Oryzias latipes: one gene and its partners. The main gene of each other region encodes a partner of the protein of the gene in region 3 in a complex. Links are inferred from orthologs where the notes say so. Each region holds a gene or a part of one and is shown on either strand. Other genes may lie near its edges. The genes, in order: rpl13a, heterogeneous nuclear ribonucleoprotein Q and gapdh.

What was found.
Region 1: gapdh (region 3) and rpl13a share a complex: the UniProt entries of both Homo sapiens proteins name them as parts of the GAIT complex. The link is inferred for Oryzias latipes from reciprocal best matches to the Homo sapiens genes GAPDH and RPL13A.
Region 2: gapdh (region 3) and heterogeneous nuclear ribonucleoprotein Q share a complex: the UniProt entries of both Homo sapiens proteins name them as parts of the GAIT complex. The link is inferred for Oryzias latipes from reciprocal best matches to the Homo sapiens genes GAPDH and SYNCRIP.

Annotation. Positions count from the first base shown.
Region 1 is NC_019880.2:9,907,312-9,911,467, reverse strand, and holds rpl13a (60S ribosomal protein L13a), read left to right. Parts: upstream 1-1,306; 5' UTR 1,307-1,367; coding exon 1,368-1,388; intron 1,389-2,000; coding exon 2,001-2,073; intron 2,074-2,265; coding exon 2,266-2,331; intron 2,332-2,377; exon of another isoform or gene 2,378-2,458; intron 2,459-2,524; coding exon 2,525-2,626; intron 2,627-2,720; exon of another isoform or gene 2,721-2,800; intron 2,801-2,881; coding exon 2,882-2,967; intron 2,968-3,124; coding exon 3,125-3,184; intron 3,185-3,376; coding exon 3,377-3,586; 3' UTR 3,587-3,634; downstream 3,635-4,156. UniProt on the Homo sapiens protein: Associated with ribosomes but is not required for canonical ribosome function and has extra-ribosomal functions.
Region 2 is NC_019882.2:1,562,463-1,565,957, forward strand, and holds part of heterogeneous nuclear ribonucleoprotein Q, read right to left. Parts: coding exon 3,330-3,495; intron 3,229-3,329; coding exon 3,093-3,228; intron 3,003-3,092; coding exon 2,797-3,002; intron 2,211-2,796; coding exon 2,061-2,210; intron 1,975-2,060; coding exon 1,853-1,974; intron 1,769-1,852; coding exon 1,162-1,768; 3' UTR 1-1,161. UniProt on the Homo sapiens protein: Heterogenous nuclear ribonucleoprotein (hnRNP) implicated in mRNA processing mechanisms. Component of the CRD-mediated complex that promotes MYC mRNA stability.
Region 3 is NC_019874.2:20,246,366-20,250,551, reverse strand, and holds the start of gapdh (glyceraldehyde-3-phosphate dehydrogenase), read right to left. Parts: upstream 2,935-4,186; 5' UTR 2,852-2,934; intron 2,556-2,851; 5' UTR 2,530-2,555; coding exon 2,507-2,529; intron 1,495-2,506; coding exon 1,395-1,494; intron 1,313-1,394; coding exon 1,206-1,312; intron 1,124-1,205; coding exon 1,033-1,123; intron 935-1,032; coding exon 819-934; intron 738-818; coding exon 656-737; intron 566-655; coding exon 414-565; intron 336-413; coding exon 257-335; intron 1-256. UniProt on the Homo sapiens protein: Has both glyceraldehyde-3-phosphate dehydrogenase and nitrosylase activities, thereby playing a role in glycolysis and nuclear functions, respectively.

The DNA of each region.
Region 1 (4,156 bases), on a different chromosome or scaffold from region 3:
TGGCAAATCCGGATAATATAGGATGTTCTCTGTAAGTGTTGACAAATAAATAAAACTGTTCATGAAATTACATTTGCTTCACTTCCATGCTTTTTCAGAACAACACAACATTGTTCTCACTACACAAACTGTTAAACTACTGTCCTTTGGGTTTTGTGTTTGCAAGTAAAACAGAGTAGAAATGTCGAAATGCAGTTTTTAGATCATTGCATGTTATTTAACGGTATTTCTTTAAAGCCTGATGTAATCAGAAGTGGTATCTTTAAAATCTGTCAAAGTTGAAAACTTCTCCAAATAGAAAATAAGCTACTTTCTTATTACTTTATCCCCACTTGGAGCCTTCTGTGCCTAATTTTTGTTAGTACTTTGACTGAAAGTGATCAGAGTAATTAGTAAATGGCAAAAGTAAACTAAATGTTTTTTAAACTGTTAAGGTGGGAAAGGCTTGCTTTTTATGAGTATTTTTAACCAAAGGAGTTGTTTAGTAATTAATCAGACAGGTGATTTCAGGTAATAACTGGAGAGTTGCAGGACAAAACACGAAGAAAGTTATTACATGTCAAACCATAACAGGCTTTGTATTCGGCAAACTAGGCTGCTCAATTGTATCTTGGGTTATCATGCTAAGGGCTGCAATGTGAACCAAAATATGAGTTTATAAAAGAAATGATGGGTCATTTTGTGCTACACGGTCTTGTTCGCCTCGCAATGGAAGGCCCTGGTTTGAATCCCACCTGAAACCTTTCTGTGTGGAGTTTGCATGTTGTCTGGGCACTTAGACCTTTTTGTCACAGTCTAAAAACATTCTTCGTAGGTTAATTGTGTGCCCTGCAACAGAATGGTGACCTGTTCAACCAGGGTTTACCCCCCCTTTACCTAACAGCGGGGAAAGTCTCCAGCAACCCTGTGACCCCAAAAGGGACAGAGTGGTTATAGAAAATAGATGGATGGATGGGTCATTATGTGTTTTACAATGAACCCTTGATGTGTCATGAAAAGAAGTGTCAATAAAGTTTGGTTGAAATCAATTAACTTCAAGTATGTACTGTTTTTTAACGTACTTTATAAATCTTGCACCAAATAGTTATGTATGTTGATTTTTTTTTATTTGTTATAAAGACTATCTTGCTAAAATTAATATGGGTTGGTAATATATAGACTGTTTTAAAAATATTATTATTGTTGTTTTCTTTTTTAAATATTATTTATTCAGGTTGCACCTTACAGCCTATGGGTGGCACTCATCATGCTCTCGAGGAAATGTGAACGTGCGAAAAAGACGGATGAAAAAGACTTAAATGTCGTCACTTCCTGCCACCCCTGCCTTTTACCATGAGCAACCCCGTTCGTCTTTCTTTTCGCTCATCATGGCGGACCGGTTCAATAAGGTGCGTGGAAGCTGCTTACACATATTCATTGTTTTTTCACTGTTTAGTGTATCTGGTCTTTTGTCCTTGGTTCACTTGTATTGTGCGATCATTTGTGTTGCAATAGATTCCAAATTTGTGATTTTCGGGTCATTCTCTTAGCCTCAATTTGAAACATTTGAGACGAGAAGCCGAGAGAACATGCCTTCATAATGGCAGCCTCCCTAAGAAAAGGGCTGATTAGCTTGCTAGCCTTACTTTATTTACGTCAACTTTAGTAGTTTGCACTTAGTTGGGTGATTTTGAGATTAATTAATTGAGCTACTTTCTTATTTAGGAAAGATCTGTAATATCTTACCGTAACGATATATTTACGTATTGTTTGGAAGGGGAGTTGATGCATTAGCATGCTTGACGTGTACGCTAGGGGCTATCATCGTTAAGTTAGCCGGCCTGATTTAAAATTTTGTAGCTTTTAAGAGTTTTCCCCTCGTTTAATAAAGAGTTATTTTTTGTTCACCGTTAGTTGTGTACAATTAGAAATTTAAATCACCGTAATTTGAATGTAAATTCATTATAACACCCCCTCGACCACATGTCGCAGTGTACTAACACAATAAATCCTCCTTGCAGGTTCTGCTGATAGATGGCAGGGGTCATCTATTGGGCCGGCTGGCTGCCATTGTGGCTAAACAAGTTCTGCTGGGTAAGTTATAAACGATCTCTAATGGTATTTGGCTACTGGCTCCATCTATGATGATTCCACATTCTCCCTTGGTTGAGTTTTAAGGACAATGAGAATTTTATATGTATCTGAGATTTTGGACAATTGGGATTATTGATCAATTTGTTATATTTTTTTATTCTTAATTTGTCCATTTTTTTTTTCTTTCTTTAGGGCACAAAGTGGTTATAGTGAGATGTGAAGGCATCAACATTTCTGGCAACTTCTATCGCAACAAGCGTAAGTCAATATTGAAATTTTGGCTTTAATTTTTATTTTATAAATGTTTGTCTGTGATGTTTTCCCACTTGTATTTGAGTTTCATTGACCTTGAAAACATTGTACATGCACTACCATCTGAGACAAGCATACATCAATTCTCAGCCGTTCTGGTGGATAGAACATAGTTTAATGTTTGACTTGTTTCTGACAGTGAAGTACCTGGCTTTCCTGCGCAAGAGGATGAACACCAACCCGTCTCGTGGGCCGTATCATTTCAGAGCTCCCAGCAGGATCTTTTGGAGGACAGTTAGAGGTGGGGTGTGAACACATTGAATAGTGCAACACTGGTGTATTGATGTAAATTACATGGGACAAAAGAACAGTTGTGTATCAGGTGGATCCTTGCTTTACAATGATGAACTTTTTTTATCCCGAATCTGATTGAATCACTGATGATCCAAAACTTTACGGATCTGATTTCTGAGTTAAGCAAGGATTTGATGTGTTTATAAGATCCAGAGTGTTTGTTTTTATACGTTAAAATTGATGAATGTTTTGCTCCCAACAGGCATGTTGCCCCACAAAACCAAGAGAGGCCAGGCTGCTCTGGAGAGGCTGAAGGTGTTTGATGGCATCCCACCTCCCTATGACAAGGTGTGCCACTGTTTGATGACCTATGGCCAACTGTCTGACTTTTAAATCACATCTTTTGTTAAAAAAAAAGTTTTTAAATGTATGTGACAACGCAATTCCATCAGTGGAAAATGTTTGTTTTTTAAATTCCTACTAAATCTTTGGTTTTGACTTGCAGAGAAAGCGCGTGGTTGTGCCAGCTGCTCTTAAAATTGTGCGGCTGAAGCCCTCTCGCAAGGTAAGTCTTAAGAATAAATAAATCCATGTTTTAATGAACCGTTGCCAGATAAAGGTCAATATTTGTTTAAAGCATAATCCAGCAAGGTGATAATTGCACACATGTTCTATGCTAGCAATTTTCTGTTTTTATAAAAACAATTTCTTTGAGTAATTTCAGAGCCTAAGTTTCTGTTGCTTCGTTTGTCTTCAGTTTGCTCTCCTTGGGCGTCTCGCCCACGAGGTCGGCTGGAAGTACCAGGCTATCACAGCCACTCTGGAGGAGAAGAGAAAAGAGAAGGCCAAGCTCCACTATGTCAAGAAAAAGACATTGGTTAAGCTAAGCAAGCTGGCAGAGAAGAACGTGGAGGGCAAGATCGCAAAATACACAGATGTTCTGAAACAATACGGTGTTCTTGTCTAAAATGGTTTGTTCTGGCGAATAAAGATGAATAAATGTTTATAAAAAGTGTTTTGATTCTTTCTTACTCAGCCCTGAAGTACAGTTGATTAATTATGGGATTTAAAGAGACATATTAAACGGGATGACTATTTAATGCTCTAAAGTAACTTGTGCAGATCAAAGGAACTTTTTCCTGGAGTTTATCGGAAAAGCATTTAATTGATAAACAACTATAGCATTCCCAGTATAACATTGTGGGCTTCTTGCACCGCTACTTTTTTTTGTCTAGAAGTCTGTATTTAACAATCACACAAAATTGTGGTTGAGTGATGGTGAAAGGGTTAATGGATTTTCCATATATTAAAAAATATTTCAGGCTTTAAATAAAAAAAAAATGGCTTCAGGTTCATAGTTTATGAGGGAAGCTGGTAGTAAATTTCTCGGAACCTCATGGAGTTTTCTACCAGCAGAGGGCAGTATTGCAGCATTTTAGAGTGACAAATCTGCAAAGCTTTGGAGTGACAGTATTTGATTCGTAGTTTAAGATAAATCTCTTGACAATAACCATCTTGGCAAAAACTGGTCATAAAA
Region 2 (3,495 bases), on a different chromosome or scaffold from region 3:
GGCGCCTGACAAACTAGCCGCTTCTGGCCGGGAAACTTTAAGGGAGCAGCGGGGAAAGGCTGAGATGGCAGAGACACGGGTGAAGCAGGAATGAGGGCATAAATCAGATCTACAGGGAGGAGGCATGCAAAGCGCTGCTTCCCAACACAAGTCCGGCGCCAAACCTGGAGATAAACATGCAGGTTTAGTTTCCACGCTGTGAACAGCAAAGTTCCTTCTGGGACCAGGAAAAGCTTCAGTCTGAGGCTACAATCCAATTGTGCTTTTGTGCCCCCCCCCCCCCCCCCCCCCAGGCCGTTCTGACGTCGCTGCGTTGACAGTGAATTTGGGACACCAATTAGTGAGATGTTTTGGGACATGAGGTACGCCACTACACAGACAGAGCTCTGAGATGCCGACTACAGAAGGTGACTTGGAACTGGATGGCATGCAAGGTGACACTGTAGCATATGGCCAACAATGGCAAACCTTCAGTCCACCTTCTTCCACATGGAGCCTTAAATTTGAAGAAAATTTGAAAAGAGAATTTGCCGAAACATGAATTTGCGACACAATTTGAAGTTTTTGTACACGTGTGCGTGTATGTTTATTAAAGCAGACAAACAGCAAAGAATACAAGCCAAAATGTAAAGCCCAAAAATGAGGACTACGGTTGTCCTTTTTTTTTTTTCTTTTCAATAACAAGACACGCATTACTTTTACAATACAAATTGTAATTTCACTCTTATTAAATACATTTTTAGGAGACAGAAGCTTGGTAGCTTTTTTATTTTAACTAGTTAAAACATTAAAATCAGAATTTCTATAAAACATACATTAAGCTACAGCCAAATAGACAGCTTCAGCACATTTCGCATCTAAAAATGTTGGAAAAGTTGGATTTGAAGAATCTTTTACGACCACCTTAAAAAAACAAAAACAACAAAGGAAAAAAATGCAGTTTGCCAGAAGCAGGTGAGAGTGACTAGATCGAGTCCAAGCGGATCGATAAAATATATACATAAAGATATCCTGCCAGGTGTCACTAACTTTTGAGTGGAAAAAACAAAAAAATAAAGCTGGCAACAAAATGGAATAGAGGGCCAATTAGATCAAGTCTCTAAATGAGAAAAAACAAGGCAGAAAGGATAAATTCTTTCCTTTTATGAAAGCCTTACTGGTTTACTTCCACTGTTGCCCAAAAGAATCCTGATAAAACTCCTGGTTGTCAGATTTGTAACCAAAATAGTTACCAGCATGATCACCACCTTGGAGGGGTTGCTGAGCAATGGGTTGAGAGCCCCAGTTCTGATTATTGGTCTGGCGACGCTTGGAATCTGGCTGGTTGTACCCATCAGCTTTGCGCTTTCCTCCTACATTTCCACCGCGGCCACCCCGAACACCACGTACCCCTCCTCGCCCTCTCGGCTGCACGCCTCCTCTCGCTCCCCGCCCTCCGCGGCTCGGTCCAGGCCCTCCATGCGGGGGGAAGCTGGGCCTGCCCCTCGGCGCGCCGGCGCTGCCGCGTCCTCGAGCCGGTGAAGTTCCGCCACGGGCGCCCCTGCTGCTGCCGCGCCCTCGGCTCGGGGACTGGAAGTCTTCGTAGCCGTAATAGGGGTCTTCGTAGCCGCCGCGGTAGTTGTGATAGTCATAGCCGTAGTAGTCATAGTAGTCATCATAGCTGTAGTAGTCGGAGGGGTAGCCGTATCCACCCCGGTTGCCTCCTCGGCCCCGGCCTCTTGCAGGGGGCGCGTGGGGAGCAGGAGGGTAATAGTAGTAATCATCATATCTGACAGAAAGGAAAAAAAATCAGAAGCATAAAGTCAGTATTTGTGGAGGAGGAAGGCTTTCCTGCTGATTTAACAGCTCATACATTTGTGTTTTGGCTGCCTGCCTTTGAGCCTTGCGTTCTTTTCTTTTCTGATCCGGCGGTTTGGCAAAGACGATCTCGATTGGCTCTCCCTCCAGTTCTTTCCCGTTCATTTCATCCAAGGCCTAAATGAAGGTTTGGTCAGTTTTAGGTCCATTCTTTTGTGTTGTTTTTTAGAAAGAATGCTCTGGTTCTGAATGAAAGTGTGTACCTTCACTGCACCTTCCCGCTCCTCAAAGTGAATGAAGGCATAGTCCTTCAGCTTCTTCACTCGCTCCAGCTTTCCAAACGCACTGAAAGACTTCTCAAGAATCTCCTCCGTAACGCTGTTGGCGAGATTCCTCACAAATAAAACCTTCACCTGCAACACAGATAGAGAAACGCTTTTCCCATCAGACCTGTGCAGCTTCCTTCTGTCAGGACATCCTTGTACCAACGTGTGCCGCATTACCAGAACCATTAAAAACAGATTTCTGGGCTTCGTTCATATCACGTATCACTCTCCAGTCTTACTGAACTCTAGCCAATAATATTGCCTTTCCAGTGATTGTGGGCGGCTCCTATGAGAAGGCGTGAGGCTGTGGGGGTGGAGCTTTACTCTAGCGAGCGCAGCTTTGTCTGTACTTCACAGCAGAAGATCCTAATACAGTTACCCGACGGATAATGTGCACTGCTCTGAAAAAAGTCTGTTGCCGTGGCGATGAGAGGTAAAATATGTTTCCTTGTGTGTGTGAAAACAGAGGTGCACTGCAGACTGTTAAAAATAAGGACATTAAGCATTTTAAGTACTCTGTCATGCAGTAACACTTTTTGAAGAGTACCGCTTTGGCCAGATAACATTCAAACAAACCCATCCTTCCCCAAGGGGGCAAAGGAACAGGCCTGCAGGCGTTTCCATGCATTGGGTTTCTCAGTTCAGCATCAGGTTTTCAAAGGGTGATGCTCACCTTGGCCATGACCTCTGGGTCGGGATCCTCGATGGGATCAGCCCATTCCACTGTGACCAGGATGCCCCAGACCTTGACCTTCCCACTCATTAGCCTGCGCCGTGCCTGAGCGGCTGTTTTATGGTCTTCAAACTCCAGGAAACAAAAGCCTCTGTTCTTCTTTTTGTCGTCGGGCTGATGGTACAGGATCACATCGTTCAGGCCGTCTGGACACAAAGAAGATTCAGAACAAAATAAATCACAAGATTTATATTTAAGGAAAGTTCTTCAAGTACCGACAGGAACCCCGGTCGTACCTGTGACTTTTGAAAACTCTTCAACAATCTGCTCCTTTGTTTTACTTTTGGGAATAGAGCCAACGAACAGCCTGTTGTTGGCGACAGATATACACGCACCGATGTGCTTTCCGGGGCGGATCTCGTAGTTATTACACTGTAAAAAGGCATTTCAGGATGACGGTCAGGAACAGGCCGTTCGGCCCATTTTAATTTGAAAATGAAAGTTTTTGTCTGAAAATAACTCCATGAACTCACCAGTTTGACCGCCTCTTGTGCTGCTTCTTTAGCGCAGAATGTAACAAAAGCATAACCCCTGTTAAGGCTGCTTAGGGGGTCCATCATGAGCCTGAGGTCCCAAATAGATCCAGCTTTCTCAAAGAGAGGAACCAGCTCATCTTCAAACAAGTCCCTGGGAATCTTC
Region 3 (4,186 bases):
AAAAAAATGGTGAACGCAAAATGTACGCATATTTCATTTAACCTTCACCTGCTGAAATTTACCATATAGACCACGGAATATAGCAGAAAATAAGAGCCCACAAGGTAGATGTTGAAAGTGAATAAAATCTGAGAAACTGTACAGTTTTGCAGATTAATTTTATTAAGAGATTCCATCTTAATCCCTGGTGATAATAATATGGATAATAATAATAAATCCATATGAAGGAAAAATAAAAGGATTTGTGGTCACTCACTGGTTTTTCCAGGCGGACTGTGAGATCAACCACCGACACATTGGGAGTGGGCACACGGAAGGCCATGCCGGTCAGTTTGCTGTAGAAATTTTAAGTGTTTAATTAAGACCCTGACAGCATGTATGCTGTAATATTAAAAAACCCACTGAGGACTCACCCGTTCAGCTCGGGGATGACTTTTCCCACAGCCTTGGCAGCTCCGGTAGAGGCGGGGATGATGTTCTGGCTGGCACCACGGCCGTCCCTCCACAGCTTACCAGAGGGTCCGTCCACAGTCTTCTGGGTGGCAGTGATGGCATGAACTGTGCTCTGAAGAGAGACCAAGACAAAAAGGGAGGTGGGTTCAATGAGTCTGAACATTCAGCAGCAAAAATCGTTTAATGGAGCGTCTGCTCTCACCATCAGGCCCTCAACAATGCCGAAGTTGTCGTGGACGACTTTGGCCAAGGGGGCCAGACAGTTTGTTGTGCAGGACGCATTGCTTTGAAAAGCAGAAACATTGGCGTCAGAGCTGTAAGATCCAAAAATGGACGGTCCTTTTGTAGATTAAAAGTCATCTTACCTGACAACCGTGAGAGAGTTGTCGTACTTCTCGTGGTTGACTCCCATGACGAACATGGGGGCATCTGCGCTGGGTGCAGAGATGATAACTCTCTTGGCACCGCCCTTCAAGTGAGCCTGCATTTTGGGATTTAAAGAGGATTATTCCGCATTTGCTTGATCCAAAAATAAATAAATAAATAAAAATCATGATATCCAGAGGGGAGCATACATACAGAGGCCTTCTCAATGGTAGTAAACACACCGGTGGACTCCACAACATACTGGGCACCGGCCTCACCCCATTTAATGTTAGTAGGGTCCCTCCTGCAAAGAAAAATCCAATCACTTTCTTTTAGTCGTCCTAAAAAGTAATCACTGATTATTAAATACTGGCACATTAACTCACTCATGGAAGACGGTGATCTGGTGTCCATCAATGACTAGTTTGCCTCCCTCAGCCTTGACCTCACCCTTGAAGCGGTTGTGGGTGGAGTCATACTTGAACATGTAGACCTTAAAACAAAAATAACTTGAATACAAGATCTCCCCCCCCCCCCCCCCCCATTTAATTTAAGACTTAATGTCTTTCACTCACCATGTAGTCCAGGTCAATGAACGGGTCATTGATGGCCACAATCTCCACCTTTTTAGAGGTGAAAGCAGCTCGGGTCACCAGACGGCCGATACGGCCAAAACTGAAATGTGGAAGGACAAGTATCAGTCTGGCCTCTAGATGGCGTCCTGAGGCCATCTAATCTGTGCAGTTATGTCTGAGTGGCAGTGACATAAAGGGGCCAATGCCTAATAACCTGAAATCATTCAGTAAGGGACGCTAGTGCTGACTTTCAGGTGAACCCGAGCAAACGCGGTTCACTGAAAGAACCCCATTTTGTTTCCTTCCTTCACGTTGGCTTATGCATAACATCCCAGGAGACATGAATCTGCAGTCAGATAAAGGGCAGAGCTCATGAGGAGGGGCTGCATGCCGCTCAAATGCTCACACGCCCCTTTCTGGGGGCAAAAGTCAGAAGAACCGCCAGTGTGTTAATCCTGATGACGCCACAGCTGCGGTTTGATCAATGGTCGGGTTACTTTTTAACCACAGTCCTGAAAACCTGGTCTAAAACAGAGGCCAGCAGGACTGGCAGATAACACTAAAGATTCAGGATTGTGATAGTTCAATATCCAATGAGATATTCAGCTTCATTTCTACTCAATTCCAAGAGTAGAAGAAAACGTCTGTCCAGTTGAAGGGGTGAAACAAACTCAAAGTTTTCTACCAAAAGGCCAAAGTTCAGAGATTGAGAGAAAACAAAAAACATCCAGATGGCGCAAAGGTTTGTTCAAATGCATCAGGGGACACTTGTTGCTTCAGATGTTGCACACCACCTTCAAATTGGATGCCAATTGCTTCAGCTCCATGTACGTCTTGATCGCCAGGGAAAATTAAAAACTCTTTAGTAAACCAGAGCTTGTTCTTTAAATCAAGTGTCCTCAAGGTTTCTTGGAACTCTGCTAAAGTTAGTCTGAACATTCAGAGTTTCATTAAGAGATCCTTATTTTAAGAAATCAAACAATTCAGGGAACGTTTTGCAAAACCACTCCAGGAATGTATTAAAAAAATAAAATGATTAAAAAGGAAATATTTGAAGTGCATCAAGAACAATGTGGCATTGTGAGCTTGAAGTGTTGAGAAAAAGCTCTTACCCATTGATACCAACTTTCACCATTTTAGCCTGGGTTGATCTTTAGTCCTCTGTGAGATTAAAGAATAACAATTTAAAAAAAACATCCTTTAGAAATCTATGCAACAAATATTTTTTTTAAAATCACACATCATTTGGGCAGAAAGATGAGCAGAAGGCCTCAAACATTCATGCAAGTCCTTTTTTTTTGGATCACTTTGATTGCTGCAACTTCTCCATGACACTTTACAACTTTCTAAACAGCTTCAATCAAGCAGAAACAAAGCAAAGTGACTGTTTTGCATCAATTGTCTCCAGGTGATTTCAATGAAAGAGTCATGCTGCCAGAAACAGCTGAAGCCTTTACCGTTTGTGAGACGCTTCTGTCTGTCTTGCGACTCCGGGTGTGAGTGGGGAAGAGCAAAGTTTGGTTGGGAGTATTTATGATGGCCCCCTCAGGACAAAGCCACACCCCTTAATGGTCACCGATCCTCACCCCGCCCCCTGTGAATGTCAAGGTCGTTAGCTGCTCAGACACAGGCTCTGAAATCCCATTTTTGTCAAGCTCCTTTCAATTCTTCTTCATATTTAACTTTTAATTACAGTCCTAACTCTTTAGAGCATTTATTCTAATTCAAAATATGTGCTGTCAGTTTAGTCTGAAGCATTTGGAGGTCCTGATTTAGATCCTCCAGCTGAAAAAAGAGAGGGGTCCCTGCTGACCTTCTCACTGAATGCAGACACATGGAGAGAGCAAATGGGGGATCAAATCTCTGGCTTAGTGACGCTGACATTTAATGTTCAAAGACCATGACCCTTCACTTGAATGGTTCTGTTGCCGTGCCTCTTTTTCTGCCGTTTTATCCCCTCAGCTCAAGTCAAAAGTTGAAACTCAGTTGCTCAACTTGAGTCGTGCAGAGGAACTTGTCGGAGTCAGTTTGCTCACCTGAACTGTGACTTTTGTGTGGACATTTGGAAACGGCTCTATAGTAAAACTTTATCTTGAAAGTGCTGCAGCTAAGGAATCTGCAAGAGCACATTTTATCTTTTAGAGATTAATAATCTTTGCTTTCTTCACCAGTCTCAAAACACAACAAGGCTCAGGCATGCCAGCTGCCTTCCGAAGTCTATTTTTGACTCCCTGTTCTGTCAACAATGTTGACATCAGAAAGAAAAGATCTCCCAAGATTACGGTGTTAGATTTTCCCCACGTGTTGCACAAGCAGACCAGACCCGACAAACGCTCGCTTAGATTTCCTCTGCATGTTTCAGCAGGCTGCAGAGACGGTTCTCTGCTCTGAAGCTGAGCAGCAACGGCGGGTTTGGTGGCAGACGTCCAGTGGTCCTGGCATAGCTGAACTATCACAACCCCTCCGAGTGCAAGCATGCCAGTCCCAGCCGCCGCTTTACAGCTTAAGGTCAAAGAAGGGACGCAAAGGTCAAGCTAAGATTAGATTGCAGCGAGTCAAACTCATGATCCATGATATACTCAGTGCTGCAAGTGCTGCCTCGTGGTGATCTTCTTTTGTCTGTTTCACAACAGTTCAAGCACCTCGACGTTTGAGTCGGAACGAAACTGATGCATTGATTTTAGAGAAAAACATGGAAACATTTCATGACATAAATTGGACTCGTTAGTCCTCTGTGTTCATACTGACTCGCTACAAACATCTGCAGAAACATCAGTGGTAAACTTCTAAGC